Linked DNA regions of Mus musculus. The protein of the gene in region 4 purifies or fractionates together with the protein of the main gene of each other region. This does not show direct contact. Links are inferred from orthologs where the notes say so. Each region holds a gene or a part of one and is shown on either strand. Other genes may lie near its edges. The genes, in order: Vamp4, Stx12, Vamp8, Stx8 and Vamp3.

Region 1 (4,251 bases), on a different chromosome or scaffold from region 4:
GCTAGTGATAGTCAAAGGGTCTCTCCCACATTACTAAAGAAGAGTGGGGGCATATGTTCCTGGCCCAAAAGCAATCAAAATAAGTAGCCAAATTAAGGCATTATGACTAAATACAAAGAAAAATAACAGATTACTCATAAGAATAATAAGGCATGTATGAATGACATGTCCATTGTAGCTCTACTATCGTATTTCCTTATGCTGTTAACAGACAAGGACATTAACTAGCTAAGGAAACAAGGCAAGGAAGTTCGGCATAGTAAGCAAATATACGGATAAAATCATCAACTGAAGGGGCTGGAGAGACGGCTCAGTGAGAAAAGGCACTTATCCTTCTTGTTAACGACCCAGGTTCAATTCCTAGCACCCACATGGCAGCTTGCAACAGCCTGTAACTCCAGTCCCAGGGGATTTGAAGTCCTCATCTGATCTTTAAGAGCATCAGGCATACACATAGTAGTGTATGCACATATATGCATGCAGCCAAAAACACCCATACACATAATAAATCTTTTAAAAACATTAAATAAATAGAAACAAACAAACAAAAGACCACCTCTGGGCTGTCTAGTGACTCCGTGATAATCTCACTACCATGCCCTGCCAGAGACACAGACTAAGATACCTTCTATCTGGGCAGGCCATTTCAGTCCAAGTCAGCCAAGTTGTGAGGAGAAAACTCTCAACCAGTGAGCCCAACAGCAACCCTAACTAAAGATCGGGTGAAAGAGGGCTTTCTCCTGGAATTTTCCTCCTCCGGTTTGTTTTCTTGTCCCTGAGCATCTTTTCTTATTTTTGTGTCTATCAAATAACTGGCAATATATTTCCCCACAGTTTAAAAACTCTTAACAAAGGACTAATAACCATTAAGCTTAAAAGACTTGGAGGAGGATAAATTAAAAAAAAAAAGAAAAGAAATACACATTTCTACAGTTTTGGACTAAGTCTATCAACGCCAGACTTCTTTAAATAAATATGTCAAGCAGAGACTGTAAAGGAGATGAATTATTGGCAGAATGGCAATGTAAGGGTGGTTTCCCGCCTGAATCCCTATGTTTGGATCCTGCCATTTAGGCTACAAGCAAAAGGAATGAAACTGAGTAACCCTCAGCAATTTTGTAAATGGTATCAGACAGATATTTTATCACATGCGGCCCCTTTTACTCAGGTCCCTCAGACAGCCCGCAAAGTAGCATCTTCTACGGGACCTACATCCTAGTCACCCTTTCAGCTCCAGTTGAAAGACTTCTCAGCGTTCCCTACTCATCCCATGTACAACCCACGTGCTCCTCCATCGGATCTGAACGTCACAACCCCGGGGGATTCTCCCGGGTTCAAGAAAGACGGAAGCGATCGACCCGCTCAGGGTCTCCATTGCCTGAACATGTCCCCTCCGCCAGAAGACAAGACCCGGAGCGCCGAGACGCTCGATCTCCGTTGCCTGAGCCTGCCCCCTTGCGCCCTCTCCAGGACTCGGAGTACCGAGCGGCTCGATCTCCCTCGCCTGAGCCCGCCCCCTCTGCCCAGCGCCAGGCGGCGGAGCGCCGAGTCGCTCGATGAGCGGGGGCGCTGCAGCAGAGCGGAGCGGTGGCGGCTCTGCGCCTTCGGCCTTCCCCCTCCCACCCTTCTTCCTCCGCTTCCCGCTCCCTCCCCCGCCTGCCCTGCGCTGCCAGCAGGGACTGCTGCCGGGAGCCCATCGGAGACCGCAGGTATCCCGCCCCGGCGCGCCTGAGCAGGCAGGAAGCCAGGCGACGCCCCTGCCTACCGCCCCCAACGTCCGCTGGGGCTGGGAACCGGCCTGCGCGAGGGTCGGGTCGCGAGTGGGGAAGGCCGGGGGCCCGGGGTGTCCTGAGGAAGGGGCGCGAGGACTGGGGAGGGGCTGGGGCGGCCGAGGAGCTTTGAGATCGAGTTGCCCTCCAGGGGGAGAGCTGTTCCCGAGGGGGCACCTGTACGGGGAGTCGGGGGCCAGAGTTCCGAGCAGATGTCGGGGTGCGTGGCCTGGGGTGGCGGCGGCGAAGGGAGCCGAGGAATTGGCCAGAGAGGCTCGCCTGAGGTCCTTCCTCGGGGGTTCGGAGAAAGCGCGCATCCCCGCTGTGCTTAGAATGACCCGGGGGTGGAGGTGAATCCTTACACGTAACAGGTTTTGCGAGTAAGATTTCCAGTCACGATTTGCGTGGAACTGTTACCAGCCGAGACTGCAGATGAGAAATGAGGAAGAACTGGCGAGGGGGATGGAGGCTGAGCAAAGGAAAGCCGTGCCCAGCCAGATTCGAGCTTTTTTAGCGAAATGAAATAGAGCTTGTTTTGTCGAGGTAAAAAGCCAGTGTAGATTAAACAACAGGTTAGAAGTGCGTTACATGTAAAGCCACGGAATAGAGAACGTACTACAGAAGATGCATACGAGAGATTTGAGCAAGCGGGGAAGTACACGTAAGAGTCGTGCGATGTTGACACTTCAGTGAACCGTGTGGTGTTCCATCCACGACGTGGAAAGACATCACGATGACTCTTACTACGTAGACACGTTAACGACAAGAATATTTTTGGTAGGAGGAACTGTAGGCAGAATGGAGTCAACTCTGATTTCTGAGTACAGTTTATTTACGCTACTTATTTTTAATCTGTAAATATCATTAGTTGCGGGTAGTTCCAGGGTAGCTCGTTTATCTATCTGCTGATTTGCTGGTGGTTTGTTTATTTGTCTAGCCTGAGTTTGCTTCCTTCCTCAAACTGATAGCTTGGATTTTAGAACTTGAATAAGAGGTTTACTCCTCATTACGTTTTAGTGTCATACCGTGTAAAGACATTTTGTGAATTTGCTTGATCCCTCTCTCCTGTTGGCTAAGATCAGCTTTTGCTGTTAGCTAAGATCAATATCTGTTATCAGCCAGTTGTTTCTTTTGGGCTGTCAAGGATATAAATATATCGTCCAGATACAGTTTAAATCTCATTTTCTCCAGTTCTTGCCTTATCAACTTTTTCCCGGTGCATTCTGTAATATTTCTGCATGAAATTTATTCTGAGATTAAGATGTAAGGAATAAAATGGGCCAGATGATTCTAACGGAAGTAATGTGGAATAAAGACCCCCAGGGCTGTGACTCATGCATGGATGGATAGCAGCTATGTTATAAGTGAAGTTGTTAGTTTAAAAACAACAGGAAGCTGACTTCAATGATATTACTTTGATTCGGGCTTCTCTTAGTGCCTTACCATCAATAAACTGATATCTAAATTATTTAAATATGTTTGTTTGTTTTTTATAGAAGATAGGTTGTTATAAGAAAGGATACCTTTCTAAAACAGAGTTCTAGAACACGATGGCAACTAAATGACTAAATATTAAAACTGATAGTGCATAGCCACTTATTGGTCTGTTTGAGTGGTGTGACATAACACAGTTATCTTAGTAAATTTTCTTAATGCTTACTTGAAAGAAGTGTCAAGAATAAAAGAAAATGCATTATGTAACTCGATGCTAAGAATGCTTCTGTTACTGAAGATGCATACATGGGTTTAGCACGTACTAAGCATCTTAGGCTTTTATAGATTTTTTTAGTCAGTCATCATCTGCTCCAAAATACTGGAAATGTATATTTGCATATAGCCACTCCCCTAGAAAAATTTGATTATGTTGCATACTCAAGTATTCCCTGGAAAAATCACAGTGCACATTAACATATAAAAGGCTGTGGGTGCTTCCACAGCAAAGGAGCACTGCTTTGTTTAACTTCTTTGTTTTTATGTATGAAAAAGCACATTTTCTCTCAGAAAATGTCTGTGTACCCAGACAGCAAGGAGGGTGTTTTTCCTCAGAAAGCAAGCAATTTTGCGGGAGATTCTCCAGGAGACACCAGTTGAGAGTCCTCTTAGTTCGTTTCTACCACTGTCTACTAGGAAATAGCCACAACTGTCCCCTTCTTCAGGTGGCCACTGAATAGAAACCTTCTACAGAAGATACGTACGTGACATTAAAGCGGGCAGTGAAGTACACATAGAGTGTACTTCCAAGTTACTGTACCTGATTGGCTGTAAATTGTGATGGCCACAGTCTCTTTGTTGGTTTCAATTAGTTTACTAGACTGGTTCACAGAATGCAGGGAGTCACTTTGCTTAAGTTTGCCAGTTTATTTTTAGAGACTGATAGAAAGGGTGCAGATTAATTATCAGATGGGCTAGATGGAAAAGTATGAGGAGCCCAGAGCTCTTCTGATCCTCCAGGTGCCCACCCTCTAGAAAGTCACATGTTTAT
Region 2 (3,463 bases), on a different chromosome or scaffold from region 4:
TATATGAAAAGGGCTGTGTTAAGTCTTTGTGTGTTTGTGTTTTTTTTTAATTTATTTATTATATCGTAAGTCCACTGTAGCTGACTTCAGACACACCAGAAGAGGGCATCAAATCTCATTAAGAATGGTTGTGAGCCACCATGTGGTTGCTGGAATTTGAACTCAGGACCTCCGGAAGCGCAGTCAGTGCTCTTAACCGCTGAGCCATCTCTCCAGCCCCTTTGTGTGTTTTATATTATCTATAAATTTAGTTGTGGCAAAATTGAACTTCTGCTATGTTCTGTTGGCCTGGCCGCTCAAAAGCTCCCAGATTCTTGCTCAAACCCCATTTACTGTATGGTCTCTGGGAGAGACTCATGCATGGAAAACAGCAAAGCAAGCGATACTCTGTTGATTCCTAGAACTCTCATCTCAGTAGCTATCTCCAGGGTAAGCAGGGTTCTGTGTGGAGAGCTCTTTTTCATAGTCTGCATAGCCCAGCCGAAAGGCAGGCTCCGGCTCTGCTTTTGTACATTCTAAAGTCCAGTTCCAAGTATAGCCCTTGCCCCGTCATTGGGTCAGACTTGGAAACACTTTTGATGTGGGGTTGAGGGAAAGTTCTGTAAGCTGTCCTTGGCTCCTTGAGCTCCATCATAACCAAGGCAACTGAGTTTAAAAAAAAAAAAAAAGCATTTAAAAAATGTTATCAAAAGTATGATCATATGGTGTGGTGGTTTGGATGAGTATTACTGCAGTTGTAGATTATTTCAGAAGGACTAGGAGGTGTGGTTTAAAGTTTTAAATGTTTAAAATTTAGTTTATTTTGTATTATGTTTATGAGTGCTCTTGGGGATCAGAAAAGGGGTCAGATCCCTTGGAACTAGAGTTCTGGGTGGTTGTGAGCTCTGCCATGTGTGTGCTGGGAACTGAACCTGGGTCCTCTGCAAGATCAACAACTGATTAACTGCTGAGCTATCTCTCCTCCAGCATTTAAGTAGGGACTTGCTTACAGTTTAGGCAGGCAGGCAGGCGGGCTTTGGGAGCTAACATCTGATCCACAAGTGAGAGAGACAGAGAGAGAGAGAACACAGAGAGAACAGAGAGAAAGAAAAACATGAATTGGGCCTGGCTTAGGCTTTTGGAGCTTGAAAGCCCACCCCCTGTGATACATCTCCTCTAACAAGGCCACCCTTTCCAATCCTTCCTAACCCTTCCTGGATGGCCCTCCACCTGGGGCAATACTTATTCACACCATACCATACGCACATACCTTTAACAGGCACCAGTCCATTGCTCTTCCACCTGACTTGTGTTTGCCATGGCTTATTACCTATGAAAGTATAAACCTGAACATAGAGAATCTTACCTCCATCACTGCTGGAGATACTGTGCAGCTGAGCCCACCAAGCTGGGAAGTTATTGAACATTTTCAGTCAGATCAGCTTCCAAGTGATGTCCTTTCACCCTGCCAACTGTTCTCCAACAGTTTGTCAGTTGGAAGTTGTTTATAGGGCATCATTCAAGTGACACAGAATCCGGTAGTTCCTCACATAGTTCCTCACATAGTCTGCCCTGTGGAAACCATCTCCTTGGCTGCTTGTCTTCTATGTGTTCTCCAGGCAACACAGTCCTATAGAAGCCATTTAAATTCTCTAGTCAGAAGGCCTAGTAGTGGCTGACGTTGGTCTGCTCTCCCTAGAGCCGTCACACTGAGCATGTGTCCACCACAGCACTCCAGCGTCTGGTGGATACAGTTGAGGCTTGAATGATCTTACTAGTTCCCAGGTAACATGGGCAGTGAATATTGCTCAGTGAGTGGGGTTCGTGTCTGTTGTTCTACAGTATTAGGTAAGCAGCAATAGATAGTTTTCTATTCATGGAGAAACCTTTAAAATGCATGTGATTATTAATCTTTAGGGAAAGAAAAGAAAAATCTTCTAGCATATTGCTTAGTGTGAGCTAATTGTTTTTGTTTTTGTTTTTTTAATCTCCCTTAGGCTGACATTTTGGATGTCAATCAGATATTTAAAGATTTAGCTATGATGATCCATGACCAAGGTGATCTGATCGGTATGTACTATTAATACATCTAACCTTAGGGTGAGTACAAAGAACTCAGTAAGATGGGTCACTGGGAACTTAACTTAGGAATATCTTTTTTTAAAATTACTGAATTCATTTAAGTGTAAAGGCTGAAGAGGGTGAACCCTGTTCATTTGTTACAGCCTGCAAGTCTGTTAGAGAAAGGCCTGTCACACCCCAGCTTTGAGCTCTAGACGCTCAGGGATTGCGGGGTTAGTAACTTTTAAAAGCTTTTTAATGAGGAAATGATCTCAAATTTATAAAAAGCTGCAAAATAAAAACAATAGAAGAAATCTTTTATATATCCCTACCCAGGATTTTCCTGGTTAATAACATTGTGCCCCCTTTATTTTGTGATGTACACCTCTCTGTGTGTGTAGATACATAAATATGCCGTCTGCACCCCCCCCCAGTCTTTTCTCTTAAACTCTATATAGGTTACATAATTAGTAACCTGCTACTATTAAATATGTCAGTGTTTATTTTTGAAGAATGGTACTGTTCTCTTATCAAGTTAGAAACGTGTAGCTGGGAATGGTAGTGATGCCTGTAGCCTCTGCACTCAGTGGCTGCATGACGGTCGGGAGTTTAGGCAGCGTCAGGTACAGGGCATGTTGTTGAGGATGCTGAGGCCATCTCAGACTCCGTGAGACCCTATCTCAGAAGACTAAATGAAAAGAAGCACATTTCTGATCTCGTGGCTGGCTGGTTTGGATGGTAATGGTGAATCTAAGGCCTGTGCCATCAGACATGTTCAGAGGGGCTGGATAGATGGCACAGCAGCTGAGAACAGTGTCTGCCCTTCCAAAAGACTATGGTCTGATTCCCAGCACCTACTCACCAGCTCATAGCCATCGGTAGCTCTAGTTCTGAGGGATCCAACACCCTCCAGGAATGTACATGGTATACAGATTGCAGATAAAACATCTATATACTTTTTTTAAAAAAGAAAAAATTTGCTTGTTTGGTTTTTTCAGTATTGAAATACCTGAATGTGCTAAAATGTGCATCGTATGTTTTACAGATAGCATAGAAGCCAATGTGGAAAGCTCGGAGGTGCATGTGGAAAGAGCCACTGATCAGCTACAAAGAGCTGCTTACTATCAGGTAAAAGCCAGAGTCAAAGAAAGTCACTCTATGCTGTAGACTCTGTGAACTTCCAGGCTGTGTTAACACATTGCTGGCAGCTGCAGTCTTTTGCTTGAGTTTAAGCTGGATGCAGGCAGTCATAGTTTGCAGCTCTAGTCCCATTTTTAGTATTTATTTTTGTAGCCAGATCTCCAATACCATCAAATCCTGAATAACTTACATAGAAGCTGTGTGGCTATAAAGCTAATGCCACGAGCTAGCTTGATGCCTAAAGTCTAGCATGATGCTAACCTTATATCCTAAATGGGGGACT
Region 3 (2,963 bases), on a different chromosome or scaffold from region 4:
AACTCCAGGGGAACCAACATCCTCTTCTGGCCTCTGCAGGCTCTTCATTCACATACTCATACTTATTTTTTTAAATAATTTTCTTTATTTTTTTTAGTGTCTATGAGTACACTGTAGCTGTCTTCAGACACACCACAAGAGGGTATCAGATCCCATTACAGAATGGTTGTGAGCCACCATGTGGTTGCTGGGAATTGAACTCAGGACTTCTGGAAGAGCAGTCAGTGCTCTCAACCTCTGAGCCATCTCTCTAAACCCATACTCATTCTTCTTAAAAAATAAAAGTCCTTTTAAAGACAGACAGACAGACTGACTGACTTATTGATTCTAGCTGGGTCTAGTGATTGGCATATCTAATTCAGGTATGCAAAGCCTCTGAGCTGCCATCTTTCTTCACTAAACCTGTGCTCAATCCTTGCACTATCTTGGTTCTAGATTGGGAGAAACCAGCCTGGAGGGGTTCCTCAGAAAGAAAGAAACAGACACTTGAAAGACACAGGAGTAAAGCGCCTCGTACACTTAGGGATACCAAGAGGTCTTTATTGCCCACCAGCCACCAACAGTTTCCCAGCCACAGACAGGGTCCTCTGGGTCTCTGTAACCCACTCTCAGGACCATGAGATGCAGCTACAGTCCAGCTGTCTCCTCCCAGGGGATCAAGGTGCGTCTGGGGCATCTGATGCAGCAGAAGGCCCTCACAGGGACTGAGCAGCACTTGGGTGGAGGAGGACAGGAGAGGGCTCCTCTTGGCACATATTAGGGAGGTCACCCCTGAGGAGTAGGGTGGGATGGAAGGGACTCTTAAGTGGGGATGGTACCAGTGGCAAAAAGTATAATGAGGATGACGATGATAAGGACAATCACACAGATGATGACAATCATCTTCACATTCTTCCACCAGAACTTCCGGGCCACCTTCTGGGACGTTGTCTTGAAGTGTTCAGACTGTTGGGGATAAGATAAAGTCGTGAGCTCCTGCCCTCAGACTGAGAGTACAGACGGACACCACATGCCATAGTATAGATGTTTACATTACATTATAAATCGAAGTAGGAAACGGAAAAAAAGACGCTGGAGCTGGAGGATAGCCACTTCGAAATAAAAACACAAATAAGTGAACAATTCTTTCCTCTTACAATAGGAATGGAAAGGTTCTTAAAAATACTTTATAACATGTATTTGTGCCTCTGCCTTATGTGCCACACTGCCCACGTGGTGGAGAGGGGTCGACTTGCAGGAAATGGTTCTCTCTTCTCCTCTGTATGTCCTGGGGATTGAACCCACGCAGCCAGGCTCGCTGACAAAAGTCTTTACCCACTGATCTCTCTCTGGTTTTTTTTTTTTTTGTTTGTTTGTTTTGTTTTGTTTTGTTTTACTTTTGAGACAGGGCCTCACTAAGTATGCCTGGATGGCCAGGAGCTTCAGAGATCTGTCTATCTCTGGCTGCTTCACAAATGTCTTTCTACAACAATCTGTAAGCCAAGTTCTAGTTTAGAATTCTTGAACTCATAAAACTTCCCTCTGAGCATAGCAGGGTCCCTTCCTTTTCTGTTTCTATCTTTCTAGTCGGGATCTCATACAGCAAAGCCTGGCCTCCACTCCTTGTAGCAAAGGATGACCTTGAACTTTTGTTTGTTTGTTTGTTTGTTTGTTGTTTGGTTTTTCGAGACAGGGTTTCTCTGTGTAGTCCTGGCTGTCCTGGAACTCACTCTGTAGACCAGGCTGGCCTCGAACTCAGAAATCCACCTGCCTCTGCCTCCCGAGTGCTGGGATTAATCCACCATGCCCGGCGACCTTGAACTTTTAAAAACAATATTTATTTGTTTGTTTGTTTATGTGTGTGGTGTGCACAAGCCACAGTGGAGGTCAGAGGTCATTTTATAGGAATCAAGACTACCAACCATATGAATCCCACAAATGGAACTCAAATCCTTAGGCTTGGTACCAAGTGTCTTTACCTTTTGAGCCATCTCAATGGCCTGGCTTTGAACTTCTGATCCACTTGCCTCTACCTTCAAAGAGTTCAGATTACAGGCGTGTGCCACAATACCATATTTATATAGTGCCAGGGACTGAACCCAGGGCTTCGTGAAGTCTAGTGAAGTACTCTACCACCTGAGTCTTATGTCCAGTCTCCCTTCTTTTTCTTGCCCCTGCACTAACCTGCATACTAAGGGGTCTTTTACAGATATATGCTCACAATTGGAGTTTGTTTGACTGGTAGAGAAATCTGGCCTTTGGAGCACAGACCCACAAGCTAAGGGGTACAGGAATGTGCTCCAGATGGGCACATGTCCTGGCTCAATGATACTTTGCTTTGTCTTCTGAGTTCTGTAGAAGCTGAAGGAAGAACCAAAGCACTGCAGAAACTTAAAAGAAAGAGCTGGGCGTGGTTGCGCACGCCTTTAATCCCAGCATTTGGGAGGCAGAGGCAGGTGGATTTCTGAGTTCGAGGCCAGCCTGGTCTACAAAGTGAGTTCCAGGACAGCCAGGGCTACACAGAGAAACCCTGTCTTGAGAAAGAAAGAAAGAAAGAAAGAAAGAAAGAAAGAAAGAAAGAAAGAAAGAAAGAAAAGAAAGAAAAGAAAGGAAGAAAGGAAGAAAGGAAGAAAGGAAGAAAGGAAGAAAGGAAGAAAGGAAGAAAGGAAGAAAGGAAGAAAGGAAGAAAGGAAGAAAGGAAGAAAGGAAGAAAGGAAGAAAGGAAGAAAGGAAGAAAGGAAGAAAGGAAGAAAGGAAGAAAGGAAAGGAAAGGAAGAAAGGAAGAAAGGAAGAAAGGAAGAAAGGAAGAAAGGAAGAAAGAAAAAAGCCTCCTGCTTCTCCAAGTTAATACAGACACTAAGTCTCCATGTGCCCAGCTTATGCTGCAGGAGGCACTAGATTCCAAGATAACCCAATGGACCCAGGAAGCCAGTGTACTCCACAGCAAGTGAAAACTGAGGCCCCAGCCTTGGTTTGTGTTAGAC
Region 4 (3,516 bases):
TTGTGAGCCACAGTCCTGGAGCAATAGGTACCTTGAATAATTTTCTGCTGCTGTTGTCGGATCTCATCAAAACCCAAACCTCTGGTCTCCTCCGGCTCCTCACAGAGCCAAGGGTTGGGAGTTCCTCGCTTTGCTTCTTCGCTCATCAGGCTGGACCTGAGAACAATAGCAAGCACATTACATATCTCACAAAACACAACCGGCTGAAAATCACTGTGACGAGCACGGAGCTGGCCAGCCTGGCACGCTTTGCAAAGCCATCTCCACAATTTATCGCACTCTTAGTTTATTCTAGGGACCATGCCCAGGGCTGTAAGAGATCTGAGGCTAGGCTGTGGTCCCCAGACAATTACACAGCATTCTACTAACCCTCCAAAGATGGTGGTAAATTAGGTTGTTAAGTCTCAAACCACAAGGCCATCGGGAAGTTGCCTGTTTATCAGAACAAATTTTGTTTCACAGGCTTTGTGACACAGAAGGCACAGAAATAATATTTTTTCATACAAATATATACAAATAAAAATACAAATATTTTCATGCAAATATAATACTAATAATACAGATTACAGCATAGAAAAGTAATAAAATCTCCCATTAAAGGGTGCTTGGTTGCTCACAGAAACACATTCAGAGTTCCAATTCAACTGTGTGACTACAGTCAAAACAATCACACTGAGTGTGACTGTCTACTGTGATCATTACCCCCCTGAAGCAATGCACATTGGCTCTTGTACAACACATCTTGGTCTTCCATCTAAGGACAGAGCGCGTAGTTCCTGCCGCTGCCTCCCTGTCCAAAGGATGTAAGAATCCCGTTGCCCTGACTGCTCCAGTGCAGAGTTGAACGGGATTCACACCATTGCTCTTGCTGAGCCTGAGAGAGGGGTGATGATGATGTAGGAGTGGAGGAACAGTAGCAGTCACCATGGATTAAGCAACTGCTATGTGCAGACGCTCTCTGGGTGATTTAGTGTACACTCACTCATTTCTCCATTGCTTATCATTTTTCAAGCCCTGATGGCATCTCTTGTGTTGTCTGGAAGTAACTGCTACCCTACTGTTTGGCCTTCCATATCGTTAAGCCTTCTGACCACTGGATAGGAAGTGGACATAGAACCCACCTCCCCTCTATTGCACCCTGCTCCCCAGTGTAGAGCAAATAGCCACGAGCATGCCACTTACTGGGAGTATATAGACAGTAGCATCTACCTCTGGAAGTTTTAGCATGGATTAACTAGAGTAATTTATGTATTCATAAAATGATTTTGTCAATACTTATTCAGTAGGCACTGTTTTAATCAAACAAACTATGTACAAGCTGATCAAAATTTTGCCCTGACAATATACAGCTTCTCCTTGTGGGTGTTGTCCTCATGTACTTGTGTGTGTATATGTTTGTGTGTGAAAAGAGATGATAATAATGTATGCAAACTACTGAATACAGTGTTTGGGAAATAATATCTTTTTCAATAGATTAACTGTTTTCATTATACCAATTACTGCATTGTCTACTAGGAGGTATTAAAATTATTTTAAACAATATATTCCAACATTCTATTAATTTCACTTTTAACTAAAAAGAGACTATATCCTTCAAGAAAACCTGGGCTAAATGCAAAGACTGTTTTGATTCTTTGGACTAAGATTTTACGCACAGGTCTGGTCTCATATTCAAATGTGCCAATTAACATGTCAAACACCAGTATGACTTTCTTCCAGTCTATCAAAAAGAGAGATGTGTTCTTCAAGGTTTTACTTGACATGATTGGCCCCAAGAAGCCAAGATGTCGAGGTTTCACACTTACTCCATACATAATCACTTAGCTTCACCTAGCTTTGAAGACAAGGAAGAAAGAAATGAAAAGGGAAGTGAAGCAGGCAATTTGCAATCCAAACATATCCATTAGCACCGGAGTCATCTTGCAAGTGCCAGCATGAAACACACCGTAGCTGTATGTGGCTCACTGCAAAAGCCTGGGTCAGAAACTATAAAAATCGCCCGAGACTCAGGAGTGCATTGGTGGCCAGCTCTGAGCAGTCATTTCAGTGAGTGTATCAAAACTGAGTGGTACTGCTCCAAGGTTAGTATCAAGCCCTTGTCTATCTCTCTCTGTCTCTCTCTCTCTCTCTCTGTCTCTCTCTCTCTCTCTCTCTCTCTCTCTCTCTCTCTCTCACACACACACACACACACACACTAATGTACACACACTATACAGAGAAACCCTGTCTCAAAAAAAAGAAAAAAAACACAAAATGAATGTACACACACTTGTGCACACAGACAAAATTAAGGTATTAATATGAAAGGACAAAAACAATTCAGCAAATGTGAGGTGATTTTAAGCAACCTCAATAAATGGCAAGTTAGGACTCCAGCTGTGTTGACGTGTGCAGTTTGTGTGTGGTATGTGTATACTTTAATCACCTATTAGGGAATAAAAGTAAAAATGTGGGCACAAGCTCATATCAATAGTAAACATGATACAGAGAATAGACTTCCCAGCATGACCTAATTCCCAGAGCTAAGCCACGCCTACTTCCTGCTCCTCTGACTTGGTCTTCCTCGATTACTGATGGCCTGGACCTACCAGCAATGCACCTGTAGCATTCCTATGCGTCTATGCATCTGAATGCACTTCATCAGCTTAGGGTGATACCTACTATTAGTCACTACTGCTCTACTGACACTGGCCTTAGTAGAGTCACATCATATTCTGAAGTAAGGATAAAGAATGGTACATGAATAAGTAAAATAAGCCAAGTGGTAAAAAAAAATTTTTTTTTGAAAAAAAACAAACAAACAAAAAATAGGCATGTCCTCCCTCCCTTTCCCTACAAGAAAATCACCAAGCTGAAGACTTTCCAATGTATCTCTGCCCTTGGCATTTTCCCACAGGTGCCCTGTGATGCCTGTCTCATTTAAGAATCCTCAAGTAGTTCGCAAAGGCAAGGTCAAATTCACTCCTTTGCCCCATAAGCTTTTCTCCTCCCCATCTCGAGTCTGCTTAGTGTGCCATCCAGGGCCTTGTGTTACTACTGTTGTTGCTGCTGCTGCTGCTGCTGCTGCTGCAATTATCCTTCTACCTCACAGCAGTGGCTGAGGTGTTCTTCAGAGATGGCTCACTGTCCTCATGCACAGCCAACATGTTCCCCTGTTAGTACAGCCTAGCTTTAGACCCTCCTCACCTCTCCTACAGACCCATTCTGATGATAGAATGACCTAAAACTGAAGTCTCACTATTATTATCTCCATGGTTCACAACTTCCGTGACTCCCTGGAACTATAGGTTACGTGTGAGCTTTAAAAGATGGTCCATGGTCTCAGCAGCAGCATCTCCCAATGCCCCAGTACCACACCCTTCATCTCCCTGAGTCGTACATCCTGCTCACTACCACAGAGTCAAAGGCACAAACTTTCACACTCTCATGTTTTTGCATGAGTCTGGAGTATCCCCACCCCCACCCCTTTGTCCATCTGGCAAAATTCTATTCATCCCCTAAGGCTCAACTCAAAGG
Region 5 (4,259 bases), on a different chromosome or scaffold from region 4:
TGTGTGTGTGTGTGTGTGTGTGTATGAGTGGGGAGATGGTTCAACCTGGGTTTAGTTCCCAGCACCAATAAAGCAGCTGAAAACCTTCTATAACTCTAGTTCCAAGGGTTTTGATGTCTTCTGGACTCTGCAGAAACTGCATACACACACAGCACACACACATAGTACATACACACACACACACATATACACACAGTACACGTACATGTAGGCAAAACCCTCATACTTGTAAATCTTAATAAAAAAATATGGAAGTAGTGGTCTGAGCTTCTCGCAGGATCTGCACTGTGGTTCTACATGAGCACACCAAAACAAAAGATGCCTTAAGACTCCACTAGCTCAAGAATTCTAGGGAGAGCTGGGGCTACAGCAGTTCCACCTGCTATGGGTCCTTCAACAAATATCAGAGAAAGCAAAGACCTGCCTCTATTAGGGAACTAGTAAACCTGGCTATAAGACACACAACAATTTGGAAACAAAACAAAACCCAAATCAGAAAGACTTGTTCCTGGCTTGAATAATCCAATTACCCTATCTTACAAGTGGCTCTGGGGACAAGCTTTCAGATATGTTTTAGGTTTGTAATTGGTAGTAGAAAAATTAGTATGAAACCAGGAAGAGTCTCCTTTGTGCTTAGAAGATGGCTTCTAGAACATTCAGGCAAAGCATCATATACATAAAATAAAAATAAACCTAAACAAAAAGAATATGGAAATACTTGTCTGAGTTTCTCGCAGAATCTGTACTATTGCCCTTTAAATACACGTTTAAAAAGATGACTTCTGATATAGTCAAAATTTATGCCCACACACTGCTGATGCCTTTTTTCTCTAATGTTTTAAAAAAATAATTACATGCTTGTGTCTGTGTGTACAGGTGCATGCATGTGCCCTTGGAGGCAGTTACAAGCAGTTTCGTGATACAAATGAGAGTGCTTGGAACCCAGGTGGATCCTCTGCTAGAACAAGTAAGTGTTCTTTTAACTCCCGAGACATCTTTCTAGCTCCAACGACTCTTTTTCTAAATAAAATTCTAGAGAATTCCCATGTTTGTTTAAAAGTCACATTTAAAATTTTAGAGTGGTACCTCATCTACTTGATTTTGTGTCTGCTGGAGTCTTCGATTACTGCCAGTGGCAGCACTTGACCCCGAAGGCACACCTGTAGACCTGAAAGGTATAAAGTCACAAGTATGAGTACACTGTAATTCCCAGTGCACTTGATAAGCTAATATATAATCCCAATGCTCCAACCATGACATGGGAGGTGGACACATGAGAGTCTTGGAAGCCTGAGGGCCAGCTCACCTGATACATGCAGCACTGAACAAGAGATAGTGTCTCCAATAAGGTGGAAAGCCAGGACTGACATGTGAGGTTGTTCTCTGCTCTCAAGTGTCCTTTGCTCTCAAGTATACCATGGCCTGTTTGTGTGTATAAACTGTTATGGTGGGACGCAGTCTTAACTCCTTACACTGCAGTTATTTCTTAAAAGTCCCAAGGTAAAAAATAAAGGCACTAATATGTTTTTATAACCCCTCAATAATTCTTAAGACTGTATCACTTGATAGTGATAAAAGTCTGAAACAAATATTTAACAAGATCTGTTCTATGTCAATAAAGTGTGGGTTTTTTTTTTTTTTAAACTTGCTTTAAGACACACAGATGTTTAAAGTAGACTCCTGATCTTTTTGTTGTGGCTGATAATTAGGAACAATCACAGAACAGACAATATGAAGAAATAGGTTCAAAGTGCATGGAGGGGGTCTGTATGAACGGGAAGGAGGCTGAAGCAACTGTCTCTGTTGGAAAGTCATTCATCTCTCATAGGTTCAGTGAGTCTGGATTTTCACTCATCCCCACTTTTCACAAGTACTCTGGTTTTTAAGTCCTTATTGCCTCCATTAAACTCTTGTATCTAAAACAGCTTCCAATTTTTGCCTTCCTACACAACTGTCACTCTAGGGTTGACTCACAGCACTTTTTAAAGTTTGCACTGTGTCTACCACCAAGGACACATCACTGATGGCTGTCTCACATAACTCAGGGTCCGAAAATTAAACAGGTAAGGACCGTGCTCTGGAAGCACTATCCATGTTATTTATTTTTTCTCTCTTTAAAGTCTAATATCACTAAAGAGGATACTACGATCCTTCCCATCTTATTAAAACTTAGGCTGAACATGCGGCTGGCTGAACTGAACCAATTTAATCCTCTTGAGTGTGGACCGGACACTGCCATTTGCTCAGCAGTCTGACCAGGTACATCTTAAGTGGTGACAACAATTCTGGCTGAAGGTTGCAATTAGAAACCAATTTTAAAACCAGAGTGTGCTGGCTTAAAACGGAAGAGAAACCCATTGCCCAGATGCGTCGGGAGCGCCAAACGCTGGCCTACGACGGGCTCCCGGCCACCTCAGGTCTCCCGCTCCTGCCGGGCGCACCCCGCGCACAGAGTGAGCGTTCACGCTCGCTCCCGCCCCTCGCGAGGAAGGAGCCGCGGGGTGTGGCGGCCGCTTCCTCGGTCAGGCGGTGTCCCCACCCCCGTCCTTCCGCGTCTGCCCGCCGTCCGCGGGGCACTCGGGGACGTCGCGGCGCCACGACTCGTCCCGCAGCGTCCGGGGACAGGGTGCACCGCGGGGCCGCTGCCCACCTCAGGCCCCGGGACTCCGCGCGTAGGCCTGCGAGGCCTCCACTCGAGTCCGAGTGTCAAGCAGCGGCCACCGCGCCTGAAGCGGGTCGCAGGAGTGGGCCACCATCCCCGGAGCCCGCCTCGCCTCTCAGCGCAGCGCGTCACTCACATTTTGGCGGCGGTGGCGGCGGCGAATGGCCGAGGGTCGACGGACTCGCGCTGCAGGCAACCGAGGCTGAGGAGATGGGCGGGGCCGTGGTGACGTCACGAGCGGTGGCCGGACCGGAACCCGCGACGCGCTCTTAGTCGCCAGGGGCGCGCCGGAAATGGGCGGGATAGGAATCGAGCCGGGCGCAGCGCGGGCTGTCACCTCGGAGCAGAGCGGAGTGGGAGGGGCCAGAGCTTGCGCTGAAGTAGCGCCGGCGCTGACGAGTGGGCGGGCGTTCTCGGTGGACAAGTGGGCGGGGCTAGAGCGCGGCGCCTGCGCCTTTGGGCTGGGCTCTTCGCCGCCAAGGAATCACAGCAGCTCCCTGCAGTGTCTCTGCTGCCCTGTCTCTAGCCCTGGAAAGGCAGTTTAGAGTGAGAATGGGTACGTTTTACATTACTGTGAGCCCGCATACCTTGTCTCTCATGTTAGAAACAGCGGACGTGCCTAACGTTCCAGAATAATCTAGTGGTCCTGAGGAGACAAAGTTCTTTTCTGAGAAAGAGGCAGTAGGAAGTCCATGTGGAGTCTTGGCCACAGGATTTGGGAGAAGTCTCCTCTCAGGTTCTCACATGACAAATATTTGCCATTGCACGGATATTAAATCCCTAAAGGGAGCCTTGGCTTAGAGAACTGTAAGGTTCTTCATTTCTGTAATTCCCTGGCCCTTGCGGAGACGACACTCAATTTTTGTTCAACGGGGGTGAGTAGTTATGTGGAAAAGAATCCCAACAAGGTCTAAAACAGACTAAATAAACTCCGTTGGTGGATTCACTCAATGAAATACACTAAGGTATTTTTCCACTTCAGCATGGTAACTCCCAAAGGTGTGTGTTGCAATTAAAGAGCGCCACACCAGTGGGTACTAGGTTGAGTAGTAGTTATAAAAACCATTCTGGATAGGAGGAAATGGAGAGTGTGGGGCCGGGCTTAAACAGTGAACAGAAAATGCAGTGGGCTCCTGGTGGGAGGTTCAGAGTGTGAAACTGGCACTAGTTCTGAGGTAGATCAGAAGTGAAGTCCTACCAGAGAGATAACAGAACTCTACAGCCAAGAGGACTGGAACAGTGACGAAGAATACCTAGCAGGGAGGCCTTGTGAGGTAAGCTGGAAAGGGTCTTAAAAAAAAAAAAAACACACACAAAAACCACACACACACAACCCAGCCAACTACCTAGTAGAGCTAAAGAGTGTACTTAGTTGGCAGAGTGCTTGTCTAATATGCAGCCCTGGGTTTGATCCCCAGAACCACGTAGACCCAGGCTGTTAGCACACCCATAATCGCAACGAAAGCTTTTAGGTAAAAGGTTAAGAGGTTCAATGTCACCCTTAAGCTTAAGCGTTGGGAATTCATGGGTACTCTGAGCTACATGAGAAAGGTTAATTTAAAATTGAGATCCTTATCTTCCAAGTAACTGCATTTAA

Evidence for each region.
Region 1: the proteins of Stx8 (region 4) and Vamp4 purify together in Homo sapiens (co-immunoprecipitation; 3 studies listed by BioGRID and IntAct, counting the BioPlex papers as one, with this or other methods). This does not show direct contact. The link is inferred for Mus musculus from reciprocal best matches to the Homo sapiens genes STX8 and VAMP4.
Region 2: the proteins of Stx8 (region 4) and Stx12 purify together in Homo sapiens (affinity purification with mass spectrometry; 3 studies listed by BioGRID and IntAct, counting the BioPlex papers as one, with this or other methods). This does not show direct contact. The link is inferred for Mus musculus from reciprocal best matches to the Homo sapiens genes STX8 and STX12.
Region 3: the proteins of Stx8 (region 4) and Vamp8 purify together in Homo sapiens (co-immunoprecipitation; 5 studies listed by BioGRID and IntAct, with this or other methods). This does not show direct contact. The link is inferred for Mus musculus from reciprocal best matches to the Homo sapiens genes STX8 and VAMP8.
Region 5: the proteins of Stx8 (region 4) and Vamp3 purify together in Homo sapiens (co-immunoprecipitation; 3 studies listed by BioGRID and IntAct, with this or other methods). This does not show direct contact. The link is inferred for Mus musculus from reciprocal best matches to the Homo sapiens genes STX8 and VAMP3.

Annotation. Positions count from the first base shown.
Region 1 is NC_000067.6:162,569,072-162,573,322, forward strand, and holds the start of Vamp4 (vesicle-associated membrane protein 4), read left to right. Parts: upstream 1-1,443; 5' UTR 1,444-1,709; intron 1,710-1,756; exon of another isoform or gene 1,757-1,808; intron 1,809-4,251. UniProt on the Homo sapiens protein: Involved in the pathway that functions to remove an inhibitor (probably synaptotagmin-4) of calcium-triggered exocytosis during the maturation of secretory granules.
Region 2 is NC_000070.6:132,857,005-132,860,467, reverse strand, and holds part of Stx12 (syntaxin-12), read left to right. Parts: intron 1-1,976; coding exon 1,977-2,049; intron 2,050-3,085; coding exon 3,086-3,168; intron 3,169-3,463. UniProt on the Homo sapiens protein: SNARE promoting fusion of transport vesicles with target membranes. Together with SNARE STX6, promotes movement of vesicles from endosomes to the cell membrane, and may therefore function in the endocytic recycling pathway.
Region 3 is NC_000072.6:72,384,709-72,387,671, forward strand, and holds the end of Vamp8 (vesicle-associated membrane protein 8), read right to left. Parts: intron 946-2,963; coding exon 802-945; 3' UTR 513-801; downstream 1-512. UniProt on the Homo sapiens protein: SNAREs, soluble N-ethylmaleimide-sensitive factor-attachment protein receptors, are essential proteins for fusion of cellular membranes.
Region 4 is NC_000077.6:68,007,955-68,011,470, reverse strand, and holds part of Stx8 (syntaxin-8), read right to left. Parts: intron 157-3,516; coding exon 32-156; intron 1-31. UniProt on the Homo sapiens protein: Vesicle trafficking protein that functions in the early secretory pathway, possibly by mediating retrograde transport from cis-Golgi membranes to the ER.
Region 5 is NC_000070.6:151,055,076-151,059,334, forward strand, and holds the start of Vamp3 (vesicle-associated membrane protein 3), read right to left. Parts: upstream 2,801-4,259; coding exon 2,799-2,800; coding exon of another isoform or gene 2,366-2,798; exon of another isoform or gene 1,169-2,365; coding exon 1,087-1,168; exon of another isoform or gene 877-1,086; intron 1-876. Other genes in the region: uncharacterized protein Gm38529, read left to right, coding at 2,366-2,935. UniProt on the Homo sapiens protein: SNARE involved in vesicular transport from the late endosomes to the trans-Golgi network.